2 linked regions of the Diceros bicornis minor genome follow. The protein of the gene in region 1 interacts with the protein of each later gene in a biochemical or structural test. Links are inferred from orthologs where the notes say so. Each region holds a gene or a part of one and is shown on either strand. Other genes may lie near its edges.

What was found.
Region 2: the proteins of UBXN2B (region 1) and PPP1R11 form a complex in vitro, tested with the Homo sapiens proteins (2 studies listed by BioGRID). The link is inferred for Diceros bicornis minor from reciprocal best matches to the Homo sapiens genes UBXN2B and PPP1R11.

The regions. Positions count from the first base shown.
Region 1 is NC_080772.1:11,762,362-11,772,451, reverse strand, and holds the start of UBXN2B (UBX domain-containing protein 2B), read right to left. Parts: upstream 4,734-10,090; coding exon 4,650-4,733; intron 1-4,649. UniProt on the Homo sapiens protein: Adapter protein required for Golgi and endoplasmic reticulum biogenesis. Involved in Golgi and endoplasmic reticulum maintenance during interphase and in their reassembly at the end of mitosis.
Region 2 is NC_080753.1:35,899,516-35,909,448, forward strand, and holds PPP1R11 (E3 ubiquitin-protein ligase PPP1R11), read right to left. Parts: upstream 3,939-9,933; 5' UTR 3,843-3,938; coding exon 3,774-3,842; intron 2,677-3,773; coding exon 2,568-2,676; intron 2,127-2,567; coding exon 1,924-2,126; 3' UTR 880-1,923; downstream 1-879. Other genes in the region: POLR1H (DNA-directed RNA polymerase I subunit RPA12), read right to left, coding at 6,923-6,947, 9,046-9,155, 9,364-9,464, 9,710-9,933. UniProt on the Homo sapiens protein: Atypical E3 ubiquitin-protein ligase which ubiquitinates TLR2 at 'Lys-754' leading to its degradation by the proteasome.

The sequences.
Region 1 (10,090 bases):
ATTATTTTGTTCCCACTTATGACTCTTTGGATGTCAAAAACCCAAAAACTTTCCTTAATGTCCCTTGAGGCTATTCCATTATAATTGGCATGACTGTAACCTTTGGGAAATCTTTTGGAAAGAAAAAACAGAAAAACCCCCAAAAAACCCAGATAAAGCGCTCCATCCAGAAACACAAGGGATATGAAAAATACCTCCATGGCTTCTTTCCTCAGTAGGAAAAGCATAAAGAATTGGGGCAAAGTTAATTCTTTCAAGATTCTATCACTCAACTTTTAAAATATACACACAAGAAAACAAAAATGAAAAGCTTTATTTTTCCTAAGTTTTTTACCCCCACTCCACCCCCCATACACATACATTAAATTTCCTATTTCTAACATGGCAATTTTGCTAGAAATCCTAATTATAAAAGTGTTTTGTAATCTAAAAGAACTGAATTAAAATCCTAACTTAGGCTCTTATTGTGTGACAATTATTTAACTTTCCTGAGCCTTAATTCCCTTTAAATGTCCATAAAAAAATTACCTTAGAGGGTCATCTTATGGATTACATAACATATGTGAGGTACAAGGCAAGTACTCCGTTACTAGATGTTTAACAATGATTACATCAGTGTTTCATTTTCCCCAAGATTTCTTGCTTCCTGCAGTGTTATCTATGTATGCCGTACGGTCTTTTCCCACCCTGTGCCCTCCAAAATACAAAAAACACAAAACAAATGAGGGAGAAGAGACAGAGAGGGAGACACAGACAGACAGACAGACACTCTGACTGACTACTTGAGCCCACAGTTTTCAGAAATTTTACCTCCCTGAAATCTCTTCACAACAGTATTCCTTGATGGATTTCCTCCTGGGCTGCTTGTATTATTTCAGCTCTATGAATTTTATGCTAGTCCTACTCCCACCCATGGAAATGTTATCTGTATTTCAAAGGCCCATTTCAGCCACCCTTCACGAAGCCTTTTCTAATTTTCTTAACTAAATGATATTTCTTTTCTAAATCCTCATAGGATATGCTATCTTATCATCGACCTTTGTATTAAACACTATACTGTCATCACTTGTGTACTTTTCTTAGTATTTTATTCCCCCTACTACATGTTAGGTTTCCCAAATTGTTTCTAACATAGTACTTAACAGGCACCCAACAAATTCATGCTGAATTACATAGACTGTAACAGAATATGAATCATAAAGAGATATAGATAGACAGAATACAGTTATAGATTTTAAAATTGAGATTATATTTGATATAGTTTTACAGCTTGTTTTTTGCTTTAAGAAGATTTGAATAAACCCTGTCAATCAAATTATAATTTTCTTCTGTGAAATAAATGAATAAAGCCTTTTGACTCCATGGAATGTGGAATATATATTAACTCTGGAATACATAGGAATATATATATACATAGGAATATAAATATAGGAATATGGAGAAAATCATACAGTGCAAGGAGTCACCTAGCTGAAAGGTCCTAGTTATTAATGATACATCATTAACTTAAAGGAAAATGAATGATATTTAGAGGGAATTAATGTCAGGAGTCATGATGTCCCTGTAGCATCATATGGCATAAGTTCACTAGTAAATATTACAAAGAAATTTAAAATGTATTATTTGTCATAGCAAATGACACCACACCAGAAGAGGAAATGATTATTTAAACTGATCAAAATAAATTGAAGTACTGGTCAAAACCAACAGAACAACAACAAAATCTCAGTCAAATAAAGAGATAAAAATATGTGCATTGTGAAGTAATGAAGCATTGTGAATTACCCCGACAGCGTATTCCACAAGCTAAACAATTAGATTATGAAGATATTTCAATTACACAGAGAGAATAAAAGTGTGTAAGCATTGATAATCTTTTCTCTAGAATTTGAAATGTGAAGAATGTGAAAAGAAACCTGAAGGCAAAGTAATTGAGAGTGAGAAAATCAAGTTCATAGCAAGAGATTAAAAGTACTGGAATTCTCAGTCTTAGAGTGACAACTGACAGAGGGTATAATGCAATAACAGTATAGCAATATCACCATCACCCAGGAACCTTTGAAAAACGCAGATGCTCCAGCCGCACCCTAGACCTAATGAATTAGAAACTCTGGGGTGGGGCCCAGCAATGTGTGCTTTCACAAGCCTTCCAGGTGATTCTGATGCACACTAAAATTGAGAACCACTCATAGGGTATACGGATATCCAACGGATTAGGGTTAGCACTGTCACTAACAATCCCGCCCCAAACTTTCCCACTGAATGTTTCCCAATTGGGGGGATGATGGGAACTAAGATCTACTCTTGGTTGATATCCACGGGAGATTTCTGCAGCTTGTAACTCAGAGGCTCATGGTCCTGGGAGGCTTTATGTAAGACAAATATCCATCTTTCCTCTCATAGTAAATGAGGAAATCTCTCCTGATCTAGATGCTGACAAACCCTACACCGCATGGCAGCTAAGATATATGTACTTAAGGGTACTTTTGCTTGTTCCAGTTAGCAATACATCACCCTTTATAATATCGTGAAAGACTCTTAGAGCAAGCTGTCCGTAAGCTGAAAGTAAGAAGTCTCCACGGAAAACTGCACTAACTGGGTAACTCTTAAGATAAGCCTGGCTAGATCAAACAATAACAAGATAGTCCAAAAAATAATCAATATCCAAGAAACCAGTTGGGGAAAAGAACATTATCCAATTCTTTTAAACCTTTGATACATACTCTATTCCTTCATACGTCATCACTTTGGTTGTTTTCAGGTTTCTTTGCAAGTTCTTCACATTCTTATTAAATTCTAAAGGAAAGATTATCAATATTTAGTATATTTGATGTATCAACTCACACTCATAAAAAAAAAAATCAGTTATCTACCTACCAACCTGCCTACCAGAAAGCAGACAGAAGATGAAAAAAAATCTATCTTCTCATTGATGGTGGAAAGAAATGCATTCTCACAATTAGCAACATCTACCAGAATATCTCTAACCACTAATCATATATTAATCCACTGGGTTAAGTCTGTAAATTTGTCAAGTATCAGGTGAGTATTAACCAAGCTGTTCTCTTTTTTCACATAAAAAGAAGAAATGGATATAAACTAGAGAAAGGATATTAAGCTACATAGTTTTAACTTTAATGGCATTAGAATGGACTAACCAGCAAAAGTTAACAGTATTTTTCTCCTTTAAGGGAAAAAGGAACCAAATATTTACCAAGCAAGTACTGTGCCAGGATAATATGGGAGTTGTGCATGGGCACTTCATAGACATTACTTTATTCCATCCTTGACACGACCACCATCACTTCCAGTTTACAAATAAAGACACTGGGATCAGAGAGGTTAAGACATTTCTCCATATTCACACAGCTACTAACTGGCAGGACCAAAATGCAAACCGAAGTTGGTGTGACCAGAAACTCCATTTTCACCCAACATCCCATGTTGCCTCTTAGTGCTGGTGGTCTACAACAGAAAAGACGAGAGAGATGACCGCTTCCTATTCCTTGATTCTGTTTACTACTACTGAATTGACTTATGGGCAATGGAACTATTCCACTTTGTGTTCATCTCCTAACCTAACACTGATCTTTCCATTGTCCAAATACCTCATTTTATGCACTGCTTATTTTGGCACTCAATCATACTCGATCTCAAAGTGTTATGTTAAATATAGTCATATCTTATTTCTGCAAAAAAATAGGTAGAAATGTCTTTTACACTTCTATCTCTTTCAACAGTGTCCACACCAAGTGTGGATTTGACGTCCTATTTATCTCTGCATTTCCCAGAGCTTAGCGGTATGTTACATGGCAGGTGGTCAATGTATGTTTGTTCAAAGAAATAGAAGGAAGGTGTGACTATCACGTAATAGAACTTTTCTACCAAGGCTTGTGGATTTAGTGTCATTTATTTATAATTATGGCTCCTTATAGATGTTTACTTGTTTAATTATATCCATCATCTTATATAAGGAGACAGAAAAAAGCCTAAACCGAGCAAAGTATTATTAAGCATCTGATCAAGAAAGATTTGGTGCACCTGTAATTAGCTAACAAATGCCAGTATTCTATAACATTATAAAGTTTTATTTCCCCGTTTCTTGTGTGCAATGTTTTACAGGCTGTAGCTTTTACAACTAGGCTGTGCAGCCGCAGGATGAAATACCTTAGTTCACCCCTTTAGTAGGGAAAAGCTATCTAATAAAAAGGAACTATTTTTATATAAAAGTAATCAAGACAGGAACAGCATCCAAAACAAGATCAAACATGCACACACGTTATTACTTTTTACGCGATGGCTGATGTCCCCAAGCCACAGCAAAGCTCTCTTCTGCAGGAAATGTCCTGCAGGAAGAAGCATCAACCGGCGAACCACTCAACTCACCCCACAACAGGCCGTTCTAAACGAACAGCTGCTGCTTAAATTGCAAACGGGGTGGAGCGGAAACGCGGCAGCAGCTCTAGCGGGGGTCGGGGTCGGGGTCGGGCACTTGTTTCCACCGCCAGCCCCGTGCGATGCGCCGCCCGAGTCACAACTCTGCCCCCGATGAGGTCCGGGCGGGCTCAGCCGAGGCCACGGGCGCCTCCGACACGCACCCGTCGCGCTGCCACCCGCCGCCGCGCCCCGCCCTCGGCCGCTCGCCGCACCTGCAAGTCCCGCGCGCTCGGCGGCCGCGGCCCGCCGCCCCTCCGCTCCCGCTCGGCCGGCTCGGCGCCGCCGCCCTCCGCCATCTCGCAGCCGCGCGCCTCCCGCCACTTCCGGGGCCGGTTGCCTGGCAACCGCGGGGGGCGGTGCCCGCGCGCCCCTCTCTTCCGGCGCCGGCCCACCTGCCCTGGCCCGCTTTTGTCCGTAAAGGAAACGGGCTCAGAGAATTTCCCCGCCGAGAAGCCTCTGCGTGAGGCTCGCGTTCCGTCTGCCGCACACCCGAAGGCGCTGTAGGCCGCCCGCGAGGGCAGCGCAGACCTGCAGCTTCTGCTAACTCGACGAGGAGAACGTCCTCTAGGTGTGTTATCTGATAAAGATTGCAGCCTTACTTGTCTAGTCTTGGTCAAATTCTCTCAATTCCCCACCCAGGACTGCGTGCTACTTCACCCCCAAAGCGTGAATTGGTCTTGATGACGAAGAACACCCTAAAGGCTCTTTGCAATCCGAACTAGAGACTACTAAACCCTCTTCATTCATCCGAGGTTTATTTAAACTCCTGTCTTATCTCAGGCACTTTTATGCCCCCGGGATGCAAAGGTAAAAAGAAGTAGTCCCGGTCATTCTAAAACTCACAATCTAGTGGGCAATAGAGAGATGTAAACAGATAATAAAATGCAATTTGCGTTAGAGCTTTGCAGGAAATCTTATGAGTGGCATGTGGTGTGTGAAGGGGAGTGTTCTGTTGGTGTCTCCTAGGTACACTATGCCAGATGCATTCCATGTGTAATTTCGTCGGTCCCTCTGCCAGGTAAGTATTGTTGTTACCGTGTTTACCTGAGAAAACTGGATGATAAATAACAATTAAATTCACCTTGTTGTAAATGGCGGTGCCAGATACTAAATCTTGAATTTGTTGTCCCAATATTCTTTTTACTGCAACATTCTGCCCCGGAAATCCCTGACTGTTCTATGTGTCCCCTAGAGCCAATGACGTTTTGGCTGAATCTTGAAGGATAAGTACTTCCAGTAGACTTTGGACCAAAAGGGACCACAGGGAAAGGCACAGATGTGAAATATCATGTTCATGTTGATAGAGTACTACACGGTTGAAGCTTAGGAGAAGTGACAAAAGATGGTTAACTGGGGGAGGGGGATCTACAGTGGAAATGTGGGCTTACGACAGATTCTGAAGGATCTTGCCTTAGTGAAGAGATTGAACATTCCCATCTGGGCCAGTGATTCTCAAACGTTGTTGCACGTTAAAACCCCCTCCCCTCCCCTCTTCACCCCGGGGACTCAGATTTAATTAGTATGGGGTGGAACTCAAGGACTGTGCTTTTTAGGATGCTCCCCAAGTGGACTTTGCCTGTGGTCATGACAGTGTACCTGGTACTGGACTTTCCTTCCCACACCCAACAATTAAAAAACTAGACAAGATATATGAAAAACTGTTTTCAGACATTGAATAACAGGCAGCATGGGTCTATGATGTCCCAGAGAAGGGGAACAAGCAAGAGGAGCTATGTTTGCCCTGGCTTTCTGCCTGGAAATCTCGTACAATGCTGGTGGGCATGGAGAATGGTACAGCCACTTTGGAAAACAGTTTCCTCTAAAGTTAAATATTTAGTTATCATAAGACTCAGCATTTCCACTCCTACGTACTGACCCAAGAGAGATGAAAACATGTTTACAAAAATATTTGTACCCAAATGTTCATAGAAGTTTTATTCCTAATAGCCCCAAACTGAAACAATCCAAATGTCCATCAACACATGAATGGATAACATTTTGAAAAGGTCATACAGTGGAATCTTACTCAACAGTAAAAAGGAGGGAATTACTGATTCACACACCATGGATGAATCTCAAAGATGTTATCTTGAGGAAAAGAAGCTAGATGCAAAAGAGTAAATATTGTCTAATTCAATTTATATGAAATTCTAGAACAGACAAAACTAATCTTACTGACAGAAAGCTGGTGGTTGCTTGGGGTTGTCTCTTTGGGGAAGGTTAAGCTTGGGGAGTTTGACTGAAAAAGGACGTGTGGGAACTTTTTGAAGTGATGGAAATGTTTTATATCTTGATTGTGGTGGTAGTTACACAGGTATATACATTTGTTAAAAACACACTGAGCTATATACTTAAAACAGGTGCACTTTATATGTAAATTACACATTTATAAAGTTGGTTGGAAAAAACCTCCCCAGATAATTCTGTTGTGCAGCCACGGCTGGGAACCACCGATCTAAGGCAATTGGGAGCCATTAAACAATTTGTGATCTAGAAAGATCACAGAGGCTTCAGCATGTAGGATGAATCAGAGTTAGGAAATTAGAAGGTTTTTACAACAATGAGGGCTTCTTAGGACTCAAGTTTTATCAATGGCAGTGAATATAGAGAGAAGCAATAGTTGGTAGAGATATTAGGGTCAGACCCAATAGGTGCTGGATTCTTCCACAGGGAATATATGAAAGGAGGAGAAATAAAGAATGAAATTTGGGGTTTTGGTTCAGTGATTTGGTAAATGGTGCTGCCTATAAATTATCGAGTTGAAAGGGAGAAGCAAACTTCAAAAGAAAGAAACAAGTCTGTTATGGACATTTTGAATTTGAAATTTATGTGGGACACTAGGGTGAAAATACATCACAGAGCAATTGCAAATGTGGGTCTAGATATTAGGAGACTATGCAAGTTCTGACAGATTTGGTGTTGACCGAATGTAAGTGATAGCAGAGTACATGAGGCTCCCAGGGGCCGTGTGAAATGTGAGAAGACAGGAGGACGGAGAATACTCAGAAACACCAACATTGACTCAATGGAGAAAGGAAAACATTGAAAGAAGACGTAAGGAATGGTCAGAGGGGTAGGATGAAGACAAGAGACTGAAAAACTAGTAACAAGATGGTTTCAAGGATGAGACCAACAGTGTCATTTCCTACAGATAATCATGTAAGATTAGGACTGCAAAGTATCCGCTGGATTAAGGGAAGAGGAGATTGCTGTTCTAAAGGTCACTACTAGAAAGGAAGATCCATATTTTAGTAGTTTGAGAGTGACAGCTAGGACAATGAAGGCTATGTTTTCAGTGTACTTAATGTCAGTGGTGTGCAGGAGGTGGCTTATACCAGCTCGTGAGAGCCTATTGTTAAATAGTCAGGAATTTTGCAGCAGTTGTTAAACACAGCCATTATTAAAAATTAAATTATATAAACTTACAATGAAATCATATTAAAAATTAATGTAATAAATACTCAAAAATCATTTCCTAGTTATTTAAATTTTATTGAAATTTAAAAACTAGTTATTTAACATTTTTATTGTTATCTATGCTCTTGAGGTTATTTACCTCTATCGTATCTATATAGTGAAGATACCATATCATGGCACCCTACTGTACACCGCTTCCCAACTCCTCATTCAGTGACAACACATTGGTAGCTTGAAATTCACCGTGCTGGCAGTATTTACACCTCAGAAACTGGCAAATACACAAATAAGAGTTTGACTTATGATCTTGTTCATTGTCTACTCTAGATTTAAGAATGTGGTGGAGAAAATGTTTACAATGCAGTCAAGTCTTAAAAGTGTGCTGTGTCTGTAGCTGTTATATTGTGAACAGCAAAAAGGAAAAAAAGGACATATTCTTCCAGAATTTGAAAATTATTAGCTAATTCAGGAAAGAAGTTGCTCACGTTGTGTCATTGAGTTACTACATATGTTTGTGTTGTTTCACTCCCATCTTGTTAATGTGAATAAAAATATCAATGATATTCACGTGGTCCCTTTGAAGTCCCCTCTCTTTTAGCTTGTGATGAAAGCTGTAGTATCTCTTCCTCTTCTTCTCCCAAGAAATATGATCACAAATACCTCACTCCTCCTCCATTCTCTAGATATTTTATATTCTCAAAGTGGTTGAGGGGGTGCAAGAATCATGGAATTTATTCTATATGAAATACTCTCCAGGAGACTCTGTCTCACACCTGCTTTGACATATAAAAGGTATTATTTCTTGGGGTGCTTAAACTGGAAACTTAATTTATTACCTTATTATACTTATTTTTTCCTCCCATTAGATTGTAAGATCATGGATGCCATGGGCCAAGGCTTTATCTCTAGTGTCTTAACATAGCACCTGGAACATAATATATACTTTTAATAAGTGTGTGAATGAGTGAATGAATGAATGAAGGCAGTAGGGATTCATAACTCAAACCTAGATTTGATCATCTCCAAAGCCCATTTTCCATTCAAGGAAAGTCAAGAAATAACAAGATATATCAACAGAGATCTTCATCATATATGGATAGGAGAGGCAGAATAAATGCAGGCCTATCCATCTTGGACTAATAAACTGTATCCAACTTCCCAACTCAAATGAAACTCACACTTGTGTCCTTTTACTTATGCTGGAAGATCACTAAGGCCAAGATCAGAGGTCACTGCAGTACACAAGAGCCTTATTTCATCCTTTAAAATATTTGAATCTTGGTTTTTTAATATTTACAGAATATAGAGTATTTACAGTTGCTTATTTTCATGGTTGCTTATGTTATTTCATGTAACCTACAACCTTCCGGGTTAGGATTTGTCTTCATTCTACAGAAGAGGTAATTGAGGACCAGAGAAATAAGGTGAATTTCCTCATATCACCCAGCTGTTAGGTAACAGAACTAAGCTTTAAATTCAGGTCCATTACACTTAAAAGTATATGCTTTTCCTTTATACCATTTATGTGTCTCCTGGGAGCTTTTTCGCACCTCCTGACTTTGGTGACTGTTCCCTTCCTGAAACTTCCTCAGGGTACTCCTCATCACTCCCTTCTCACCTACCTGACCATTCCTTTTGAGCTTCCCCTAAACATTTTGCCTTCTTTCCACCCTCCAAATGATGGTGCTCCCTAGAGTTCTGTCTTCAGCCCTCTTGGTTTCTCACTGTGTATGCTTTCACTATTCAATATCATCCACTCTCATACCTACTATTTGTGCATGGTAAACTCTCATTATTTGCAGTGGTTATGTTCTATAAAGTTGCCAAGAACACTGAATTAGTGAATACTGGACCATTGCTTCTAGAAGAAACACAGGGTAAGATTCCTGCAAGTCTCTGATCATATTTTCATCAACTGATTGATACATAACCTTGTTTTATGTCTGTTTCTGTTAAAAGACACCTTATTTAATATATATTGTTGAATTATTAACATGAGCTCACAGCCAACAGCACTATAACTCACGCTTGAACAAAGCTTATCTAATACATGTATTTTCTCCATGAGGCACATCACAGCCTTCTTGTGCTTAGGAACTTGGACTTAGGAACAGCAATTCTGCATTACACTTGGGGCAATTTTCAACAGCGACAAAATGCAAAAAAATGTGGTACTAAATAGACCATGCAAAGGACATTTGTTTACAGTATAAGAGCAGAAACAAGAAGGCAGAGC
Region 2 (9,933 bases), on another chromosome or scaffold:
CCCTCACCCACCTACATTGTCTCTTTTCTCCCAAATAGTAAGACTTCAACTGGCCTCCAGTTTCCACATCCACACCCAAAGTCAAATCCATTCCTGCCCCCCTCCTCTTGCGCCTTTTCTCCTCCACGTCTACCCCAGTACTTCCCAACTGATCCCTCCCCTTCTACCTTCTATTCCAGGCCTGAATTGGGGACCAGGCCCTGACCCATCAGTATTGGTAAATGGCCAGTGTTTACTACAGAGGCCCTGCTAGTCAAATATTTACTTCCCACCCCTGCCTCGCCTAGTCTCAAAGAAGGGCCCAGTGCCTTCTCCACAACTCTAAGGTTTGGGCTTCCCTACCCTGTTGACTCAAGAGAAACAAGAGCCTACTCCTAAAAAACAGGAGACGTGACTCTGGCTTGGGCCTTAGGGCTTTCTAGAGAGCTTAATACCACCCCCGCCCCTTCTTTTTTTGTTGAAGATGAGCCCTGAGCTAGCATCTGTGCCAATCCTCCTCTACATGTGGGTTGCTGTCACAGCATGGCTGATGAGTGGTGCAGGTCTGCGCTGGGGATCTGAACCAAGAACCCTGGCCACCAAAGCAGAGAGCACCAAACTCAACCACTATGCCACAGGCCCGGCCCCTTAATACCCCTTTTTTGGAGGGCAGGGAGAGAGGCAGGCCAGTTCTACTCCACTCTTGACGGCTTTCTGTGCTCACAGCCTTTCCCATTAAGAACCTTCTTAAATCTCCCCCCTGCACATACTCAAAGTAAGAAACCAATGGTGCTACCTCTCCTTTCCTCAACCTGGGAATGGCCCAGACACCCCAAATTTATCCTTGTGTATAGCCTCACATCTTTCCCCATATGTATAAATGGGCCCATATTTAACACGTTTTGTGATGTTGCATTATTTATTTTGTGCATCTGTGGCAATAAATGAGATCTCCACGGTGGTATGGATTTGACTGATCTCTGCAACTAGAGATGCATGGCAAGAGGCCTGGAAGACAATATCCAGATCCCAGTAAGGGGTGGGGAGGGCCGAGAGAGCTGGCCATCTGGACTGGCAGAGACATCAAAGCCTAGGAAGGAAGGGGTAAGAGTGTGGTGTAGGGGACATACCCCCAGCTCTTTGCTCCCTCCCTTTTCCTTCCTCTCCCAGGGACCCAGGCCCCTGGCGCTGTTTTAACTGTCTCTGAAGCTGGAAGACCAAAAGCTGAGGAGACAGTTGGCTCTAAGTGAGCCAGCTGTGTCAGAAATCCTAGATCACATGAGAAGGGTGACGAGAGAGGACATGACTATTTCTTTTTCCCTTAAAGGTGAGGATGACAAAGACCTTTCTCCTAACTCCTCTTGAGGGCATGAGAGGAGTGAGGAGGAGGGGAAGGGCTGGGAGCCCTGAGGTCTCCCATCAGACCTCATATCCCACAGGCAAGGACTAAGAGTTAGGACTATATAAATACATAGTTGAAGAGCTCTAAGCCAGGATTAACAAGCATAGCTGGGGCAAGATTGCCTGGAATCTGACTGGGACTCTGGCAGTGAAAGCTGGGGCTGATGGAAACCCACTTTAAGTGTTTGGGACTCAGGGAGAGAGTGCAGGGGGCCAAGATAACTGGATCCCAGGACAGGCAGTTTGGCAGTGAGAACAAAGGGAAGAAACTGGGACCAAGATGCCTGGATCCCTGGAGAGAGGAGGATGGGTAATGGAAGGAGAAATGAGGGCTAAGGGAACCCAGAAGCCTGGGTTCTGGAATAGCAGCAAGTCAGAATTCCAGGTTCTCTGTCCACTCACCGCTCCCTCTTCCCTCTATCAGGCAGAGGAGAGGGGAGGAGGGGGCTGGAGAAGGGATCAAACCATGAGTTTAGACCCCAGGTAGCCACATGAATACATTCAGGGCCAAACAGACACAGGAATGGTGGGGGAGAGAGGAATTTAGTGCTGCATTGGCCCTGGAGGGGGCTGGGAGGGGTCAGGAGGTTGGGGAGGGGTGGTGGGGCTCGGTCCCGGGGTTGCATGACGCCGTCCTTTGCGGTGGCCCCGTACACAGTGTGTATGACCACAGCCCTCCTCTTCCTCCTCATCACTCTCCGTGGAGCTCTCGCCAAAGGCCCGAGGTTTCTCATAAATACAGCAGCCTGGATTTGGAGGGAGGAGCCCAGTTAAAAAGGAGGAAGAGTAAGATGTAGAGTCTGTTCCATTCCCACTGGATCTCAGTAAAGATTCCTACTTCCACCATTGTCTCCTCCTACCTTCCAGGATACAGCTTCCCCAGGCCTACCCCCTGGGACTCAGGCACCCAACTCCCTTGTCCTTTTCGAGACCCAGGAATCCAAAGCTCTACTTCTCCCACCTCTGATACCTCTTGCCTTCAGGCCTTGGCACATCACAATTCAAGCCCCTCCCTATCTCTTTCCCTCTAACATTAACCTCCTTTCCCTGATGCCAGGGAACAACCAAGGCAGCGACAGGATTGCGAGCATCTGGGGGCTTCAGGAAGGCCAGTGAATGTGAGAAGGTAGAAGGTAGGCAGAGGGGAGCCAGAATTCCAGGGTTACTGTGGGACAACAATTACTCACATTTTGATGAGCGGCGCCCCATGTGTTCGTTGTCCACAGTGTCACTTGTCCATTCCACCTTTTTCTCTGGCTTCCGTTTCCGAAGTTTGATGGTTAGGCTCCGGTTCTCCTGGAAGGTTACGAGGGAAGGGCATAACTATCTAGTCTGCTCCTTACTGATCTTTCCCACTCCCTCCCAGGGGCATTCTCTCTTCCCCTTCCCAGCTCAATCAGTATCACAGACATAGCCCCAGGGGAGCTGAGTGCTAAGAGAAGATAAAATAGTTAACAGGCCTTTGACCTCAGGCAGCCCCTTGAGGAATAGAGAAGTATTATTTCCTGTTCTTGATAACTGCCAGTATACAGAGAAGACACAGTTCCTAACCTAGGGAAGGTCCCAGCAAATCTTCAAAGGAAAATATAATCCTCGCTGTTTCTCCGTCTTCCTCCCCAAATCATCCTCGGTGGTATTAATACATGAAAATTATTTTCTCAGTCCCCAATGCCTAATCTTTGATCTTTTTCCAGACCCCCTATTCTTCTTACCAGTAAAGAAAGAACCCCATTCTCACCTTTCTCATCTTCAAGCCCAGGCCTCCCCACCTCTTATCCACCTACTCCCTAGCATCCTGGTATCTCTGGTAACTATTACTCAAAAATCCTTTAATCCAGGGGTTATTAAGCCCAATACGACGTTCTCCCTTTGAAAGCAACTTAATCTGTTTTTGAAAAAATGCTAGGTTTTCCTCTATTTACATCTCTGATTTCACAAAATATTATCTTCATCTCCTTTTTCTTGTTCCATTATTCCATCCACTCTCTTTTACACTCATCCCTTCAACAAATATTTAAGGATAAGTACGCTTCCAGTCAAACTCTCCTACAGCTTGCCTCCAACCATGCTTTCTTACACAGCCCTTCATTTCCCCCCAGCACCTCCCTTACCCCTTAATCCCCGAGCTCCCATTCTTTCATTATTTACACACACCACCACCCCACGCAGCAGCATCCTAACTCTAACTATTACACATCGCTTGATCAGCCTCCTGCACCATCTCTGCCACTCCAAATATCCCCAGTATCTTGTGATTCTCCCAACCCCAGATAGTCAACCCCACTCTTCCCATATGCCCAGGCCAGGCCCGTCGAGCTACTCTCAAAAGCCCTATCCCCTCCCTCTCGGTATCTCCCAGACCCCTACAAAGCACCGCCCCCCGCCTTTCTCACGGGCTCGGTTGTCACGGTAACCGTTGTCTCAGTGATGGTCTCACTCAGCCCTGCCCCTGCCTCGGCCATGGCTAAGGCTGAGGAGAGGAAGGGACACCCTTTCCTTTTTCTGTGTTTCTGGGGTCTAAAAGAATCGGTATCGGATTCAGAGTAGTAGCCAGGATCCTCCACCTTCTTTTTCTCCCTTCCTCTTGGGCCTCTGCTTCCCCACCCCTGGGGATAACCTGTCCAACCCCACTTCCGGCTCTCCTCTTCCGGGTGTGACGCATTCCGTAGTCCCCCTTTTGCACTAAGCGCGTTAAAGCGCAGGCGTCGCCGGATTAGTTCCGCCGTAATGTGACAGTGCGCAGGCGCCACAAGAAAGCGACACAGACTTGGCGGAAGAGGCGTCACTGCGGCTGTGGGAGGAGGGGGGTCGTCAAGGGCAGCGCGCGCACGTACAGCACAGAGCAGGCAGGAGGGGGCGGTCCGGAAGGGGAGAGCTGGGTTGGCCGCTGCGGATCGGGTGTGGCGCGGTGCCCGCCGCCGGGGAAGGGCGAGTGCCGCACCTGGTTCAGACGTCCGGTAGCTGAGCCCATCCTCTTCCCCATCTTTAACCCTGGGTGGGTGGGAGAGCGGGGGAAACTTAGGGGCAATAGTAATAACTCTACAATGGCCTATTTTCGTTTCGTCTATTATTGTTATTTCCCCTATTATTGTTTCGACTGGGAATCAGAGAACCAGGACCTAGGAGCAGTTGGAAACGCACTTGCTTAAGAATCTGGGTTCTAGTCCTCGCCCTGGGCCTGCAGGTGTTTGAGCGGGGCACTTAATGCACCTTCAACTTGTATTTTTTCCTGTCACTGTGCTAGATCTTGAAGATAAAAGCGATAAAACACGCAGACCCTGCCTTTTAGCTCCCAGTCTAGTGGGAAAGACTGGCATGCTTAGGACCAACAAAACTATAAGACACTGGGATATTAACATAGATGTAAATCTCATCTGTGAAACTGATTTCAGTTACATACTGCCAACATTCTCTCTGGGATGGAGGTAAGATTAAGCACAGAAATGGTCATAAATTACAATATAGGCCAGTTTATGCTATGGTAAAAAATATGTGCATGTTTCTCAGGGAGCAAAAGAGTGGTAAAAAGGGAAGTGGAAGGCAAATGTTATTTTGTTTTTTTTGGTAAAGAGAGAAGCTTACAAAGTGTAGCTGTGTGCACTGATGGAAATGCAGTTTTGACCTGCTGAGATGTAAGGGGAGTGCCTGACAAAGCTTGACAGGTAGGGGTGGTTATATGGGAGGCCCTGTCTGCTTTACTAAGAAACTTGGCCTTTATCCAGTCAGTGTTAGGGGCCAGGAAAGGGGAGGGTAGAAACATGCACAGATTTGTTTCAGATTTCAGGAGTAGGGCGGGAAAGTCAACTACAAGAACAGTTCAAAAGTACAGTGGAGAAGACTGCCCTGCCCATCCCTCCAAGTTGCTGAAGAGGTCAAACAAGATAGGGTATGCTTGAGAGCTCTGAATATATAAAGGGCCATACAATGACAAGATAATCAGTATTACTGTCACCCATTGATTGCCATTTAAGCCAAGGAATGCAGGAAGACTGATGCTCAGACTAAAATTTGAATATGTTTATTGTGCCTGGACTATATATTTGTTTCCCTTTTAAGTTTTTGGTTCAAAGTGAAAAAAGCAAGATACTGAGCATGGGGCCCGCCCCATGGCTTAGCGGTTAAGTGTGCGCACTCCGCTGCTGGTGGCCCAGGTTGGGATCCCGGGTGCGCACCAACGCACTGCTTCTCCAGCTATGCTGAGGCCATGTCCCACATACAGCAACTAGAAGGATGTGCAGCTATGACATACAACTATCTACTGGGGCTTTGGGGAAAAAATAAATAAATAAATAAAATTAAAAAAAAAAAAGATACTGAGCATGTATAGTAGAGCCTATTTAAAAAAAAGAAAACCAAATATCTCTGTGGATTCCTTGTGATTTTTTTTTCTTTCTACCTTTCTATATAAGAATCTATCACAATGAATATATATTATATTTACCTCAAGAGCAATAAAAAAAACAATTTCCAAAATGTCCACCTGTCGCAAGTACATACTAGTATCCCTTAGTATCAGATTTTTTGTTGTCCTAACTTACACATCAAATATATCTCATCAAATTTTCTGTTGAATCTCTCACTATCCAAACTCCCACTTTTTGTTTCCCTAAACTCAGGAACTAAATAGATTTAGATAGTAAGTTAACATTGCTGTTTTTTTTTTTTTTATCGTGAGGAAGACTAGCCCTGAGCTAACAACTGTTGCCAATCCTCCTCTTTCTCGCTAAGGAAGACTGGCCCTGGGCCAACATCCATGCGCATCTTCCTCCATTTTATGTGGGAGGCCTGCCACAGCATGGCTTGATGAGTGGTGCATAAGTCCGTGCCAGGATCTGAACCTGCAAACCCTGGGCTGACAGAAGTGGAGCCCACAGGGCCGGCCCCGTGGCTTAGCGGTTAAGTCCGCAAGCTCCGCTGCTGGCGGCCCGGGTTCGGATCCCGGGCGCGCACCGACCCACTGCTTCTCCGGCCATGCTGAGGCCGTGTCCCACATACAGCAACTAGAAGGATGTGTGCAGCTATGACATACAACTATCTACTGGGGCTTTGGGGGGAAAATAAATAAATAAATAATAAATAAAAAAAAAAAAGAAGTGGAGCCCACAAACTTAACCACTATGCCACCAGGCTGGCCCCAACATTGCTTTTTTATATTAGCCTCATTCCTGGCTCCATTCTTTTCTCTTTGTTTTTTTTCCTTTTTCTTTGTCATGTACTAATTTATATTATCTTTTTGTAGCTGATATATTTGTTGAAAGAACAAATATATCTCTGTGAGCTCATTTAAATTCCTTTTGGAACAAGACACACAGTAAATAACATACATATATCTGGCTCTTATATAAAAATATAACTTTAATAAGGAAACTCAACTAAAGGTAGGAGTACTCTGGAGACAATGGTAATCCCCATATGATGATCTTCTCCTCTGGGAGCAAAACACTGCAAACAGGGGATGGACAAAGGATCTGAGAACCCAATATCCTTCACCTTCCAAGGAAGAAGAGAGGAAGGGATTGTTGAGTCGTCCAGAAAAAAAAAATCAAGAGTCTTCCTTCTCCTGAAACCTATGAAGAAAAAAGAACTTGTTATATTTGAACAAAGGAAGAGGTTCCAGCAATTTAAGATGAGACACACAAATAATCAAGGAAGGACTTTCACTTATGACACTGTGGAGGACTAGCTCCCTTAAACAATCCTCCAAATTTAAGACCACTAAAAATGCTGGAATTCGGGGCCAGCCCGGTAGCCTAGCTAAGTTCCTACACTCCGCTTTGGCAGCCCGGAGTTTGCAGGTTCGGATTCCTGGGCACAGACCTTTGCACCACTCATCAAGCCATGCTGTGGCGGCATCCCATATACAAAATAGAGGAAGATGGGCACAGATGTTAGCTTAGGGGTAATCTTCCTCAGGCAAAAGAGGAAGATTGGCAATGGATGTTAGCTCAGGGCTGATCTTCCTCATCAAAAAAAAATCGAATGAATTATGAAATATGCAAAGATTTCTTAGGACACAAAAAGTACTAGCCATAAAAGAAAAAAAAAAGGATAAACTGGACCTCACAAAACTTAAGAACTTCTCATTAATAAAAAAAAAAAATAGTTAAAAAAATACAAAGGACAGATTGGGAAAAAAGTCCTCTCAAAAGATATATCTAACTATAAATATTTTTAATCCATTGAAGAGATGGCAAGAAAGTAAAGGCAACCTTCACACTGGGTAAAATGATGTAAAACCAGGAATCTAGACAGGTAAGTTAAACTCAAGTCCTTGCTACCATAGTGCCCTTGCTGTTTTGACAGCCACAGGGAGGAACTAGAAACCTAGAATGGAGATACTCTGCATAAATTTGGGCCACCCAAAGGGCTACTCCTTTGTGTAAAAGTGAACAAGGAAAAAAAAAATCCACCTCTGCAGAAGGGGAATCTGACTACCTCACAAGGTAGAGGGAGAAAAAATCTTCTCTGAGAATTTCTAACCATAAGCTGGCCCTTATATGGATTTGCAGCCCGAATTTATACTACCTATGTGCTCCAAAAAACCTGAAGCCAAGAATTTATTTAAAGTAATTCCGGCTCGGTAGTGCCTCAAGGCACCTGAACAGGAAACATAGATGCTGAGGATACAGCATTCACCCCAGGCCTCAAAGAATTCCCATACTTCAGACTCTAAAAAATCCAAGCTTATAGTCAAAAATCACAAAACAAAGAAAAAAAGCACCATGAGAGAGTCAGCAAAAATAACAGACAGCAGTATCAGACTCACAAAAATGATGGGTATCAGAATTATCAGACACAGTATAAATCATCATGTTTAATATATTTAAAAGTAACATTTTAAGACTAAAAGGAGCAATTTAAAATATGATTAAGGAATTGGGAATTATAATGACTGAGGAAATTTGAAAAAATAATCAAGTAGAACTCAAAAGAAAACTTTTTCTAAAGTAACAATAATTGAAATAAACTGAAGACAGAGTTAGTGACCTGGAAGAGAGACCTGAAGAATTTACCCAGAGGCAGCATAAAGAGAAAAAGAGATGAAAAATATGAAAGACAGGGTGAGAGAAATGGAGGGTGAAAGAGAAGGTTTATTAAACAACTAATTAATTAGAGCTCCAGAAAAAGCAATATTCAATGAGATAATGGCTGATAATTTTCCAAGGTTGATGAAAAAAAAGTCAATCCTGAGTTTTAGAAAGTCCAACAAATCCCAAACAGGATAAATAAAAGAAAGCCACATCTTGATATATTGTAGTGAAACTGCAGAACACCAAAGACCAAGAGGAGTTCTCAAAACCATTAAGAGAGCCCATGTTTTTTAAATTAGGCACGATTAATTCTCACCAAAATAAAACTACCTTGAGTGCAGCAGAAGATTCCAGCATAACATCCTGACCACTAAGCAATACTTGCCTTCTGTATTTTTCCATTTCCTTTAAAATATCTTAAAAGGTTTAGTTCACTGGCTATAAAAAGGATAAGAAAAGTGTAATTTTTAAAAATAAAAAACGACCACAAATCTCCCTACTATCTGAACTGTACAGAAATGAGGGATGGGACCAAAGGAAACAATTGCTTCTTTGGTACAAAAAGTAAATCACTGGATTTGTTTAGTTAGCAAACAGACTGAGACAGGGCAGAGGGAAGGGAAAGGATACGCACTTGCAGTTGGTACAGGTGTAGAAGACAGTCTGCCCTTCATCAGCTGAGCGCATCTGTCTGGTGTGGTATGCCATTCCCTCGTGACCACATCGAGAGCAGCGCCTGTCAACCTGGGAAGCAACTAGTGGATTAGGGAGGCCTAGTCGTATCCCCCCTACTTCTCATAGGAATCAGGCTATCACACTCCTCAGACACTGCTGCTCTAAAGCTCCCTCTTCCCTCTTAGAATTGGCTACAAAACTCCACAGGTCTCAGCAATCATCCTCCATTTCTTTCCCAACGCTCCTTGGGGGGCCATGCTTGATGTAACTAACTTACCACGGGTCCCTGGAACTCAGGTCCTTCCTCCATCGACATAGGCATGGCTGTCCCCAGTTTGTGGAACACAAATGAGGTCTTCACAACTTTCCCTTCGAAGTCTGCACAGGCAGTAAGAATCGGTTGCGGAAACAAGCGGAGGGAGCTGACACCCGCAACTCCCTCTTGATTAGGCCAGGAGGTCCTACATCCTTCCCTTCAGGTTTAGTCCCAAGACCAAAAGTGTGAGCGCCTGATCTCCTGCTTTAGGGTTCCCCTCTCCGATCCCACCGATCCTGAGGTCCCCAAGCCTCCGACCCTTCCATGCCGGGCCCTCCGCCGGGGCAGCTGCGTACAAGCCCCTCACCTCGCACGTTGATGGAGAAGCCACAGCGAGTACAAGTGACCGTATCCTGAGCCCCGGGCAGAGGCAGGACCGAGCCGCAATCCGGACAGAAATCCAGGTCCGACTGAAAGCTGGAGGAGGTGCCGGCGAGGTCCATGACGGACAGGCTGTCGAGGGCTGAGAAGGGAATAAGAAGTTGATTAACAAGCGAGTAGCTCCCTCCCCACTCAGGGGTCATTTCTATT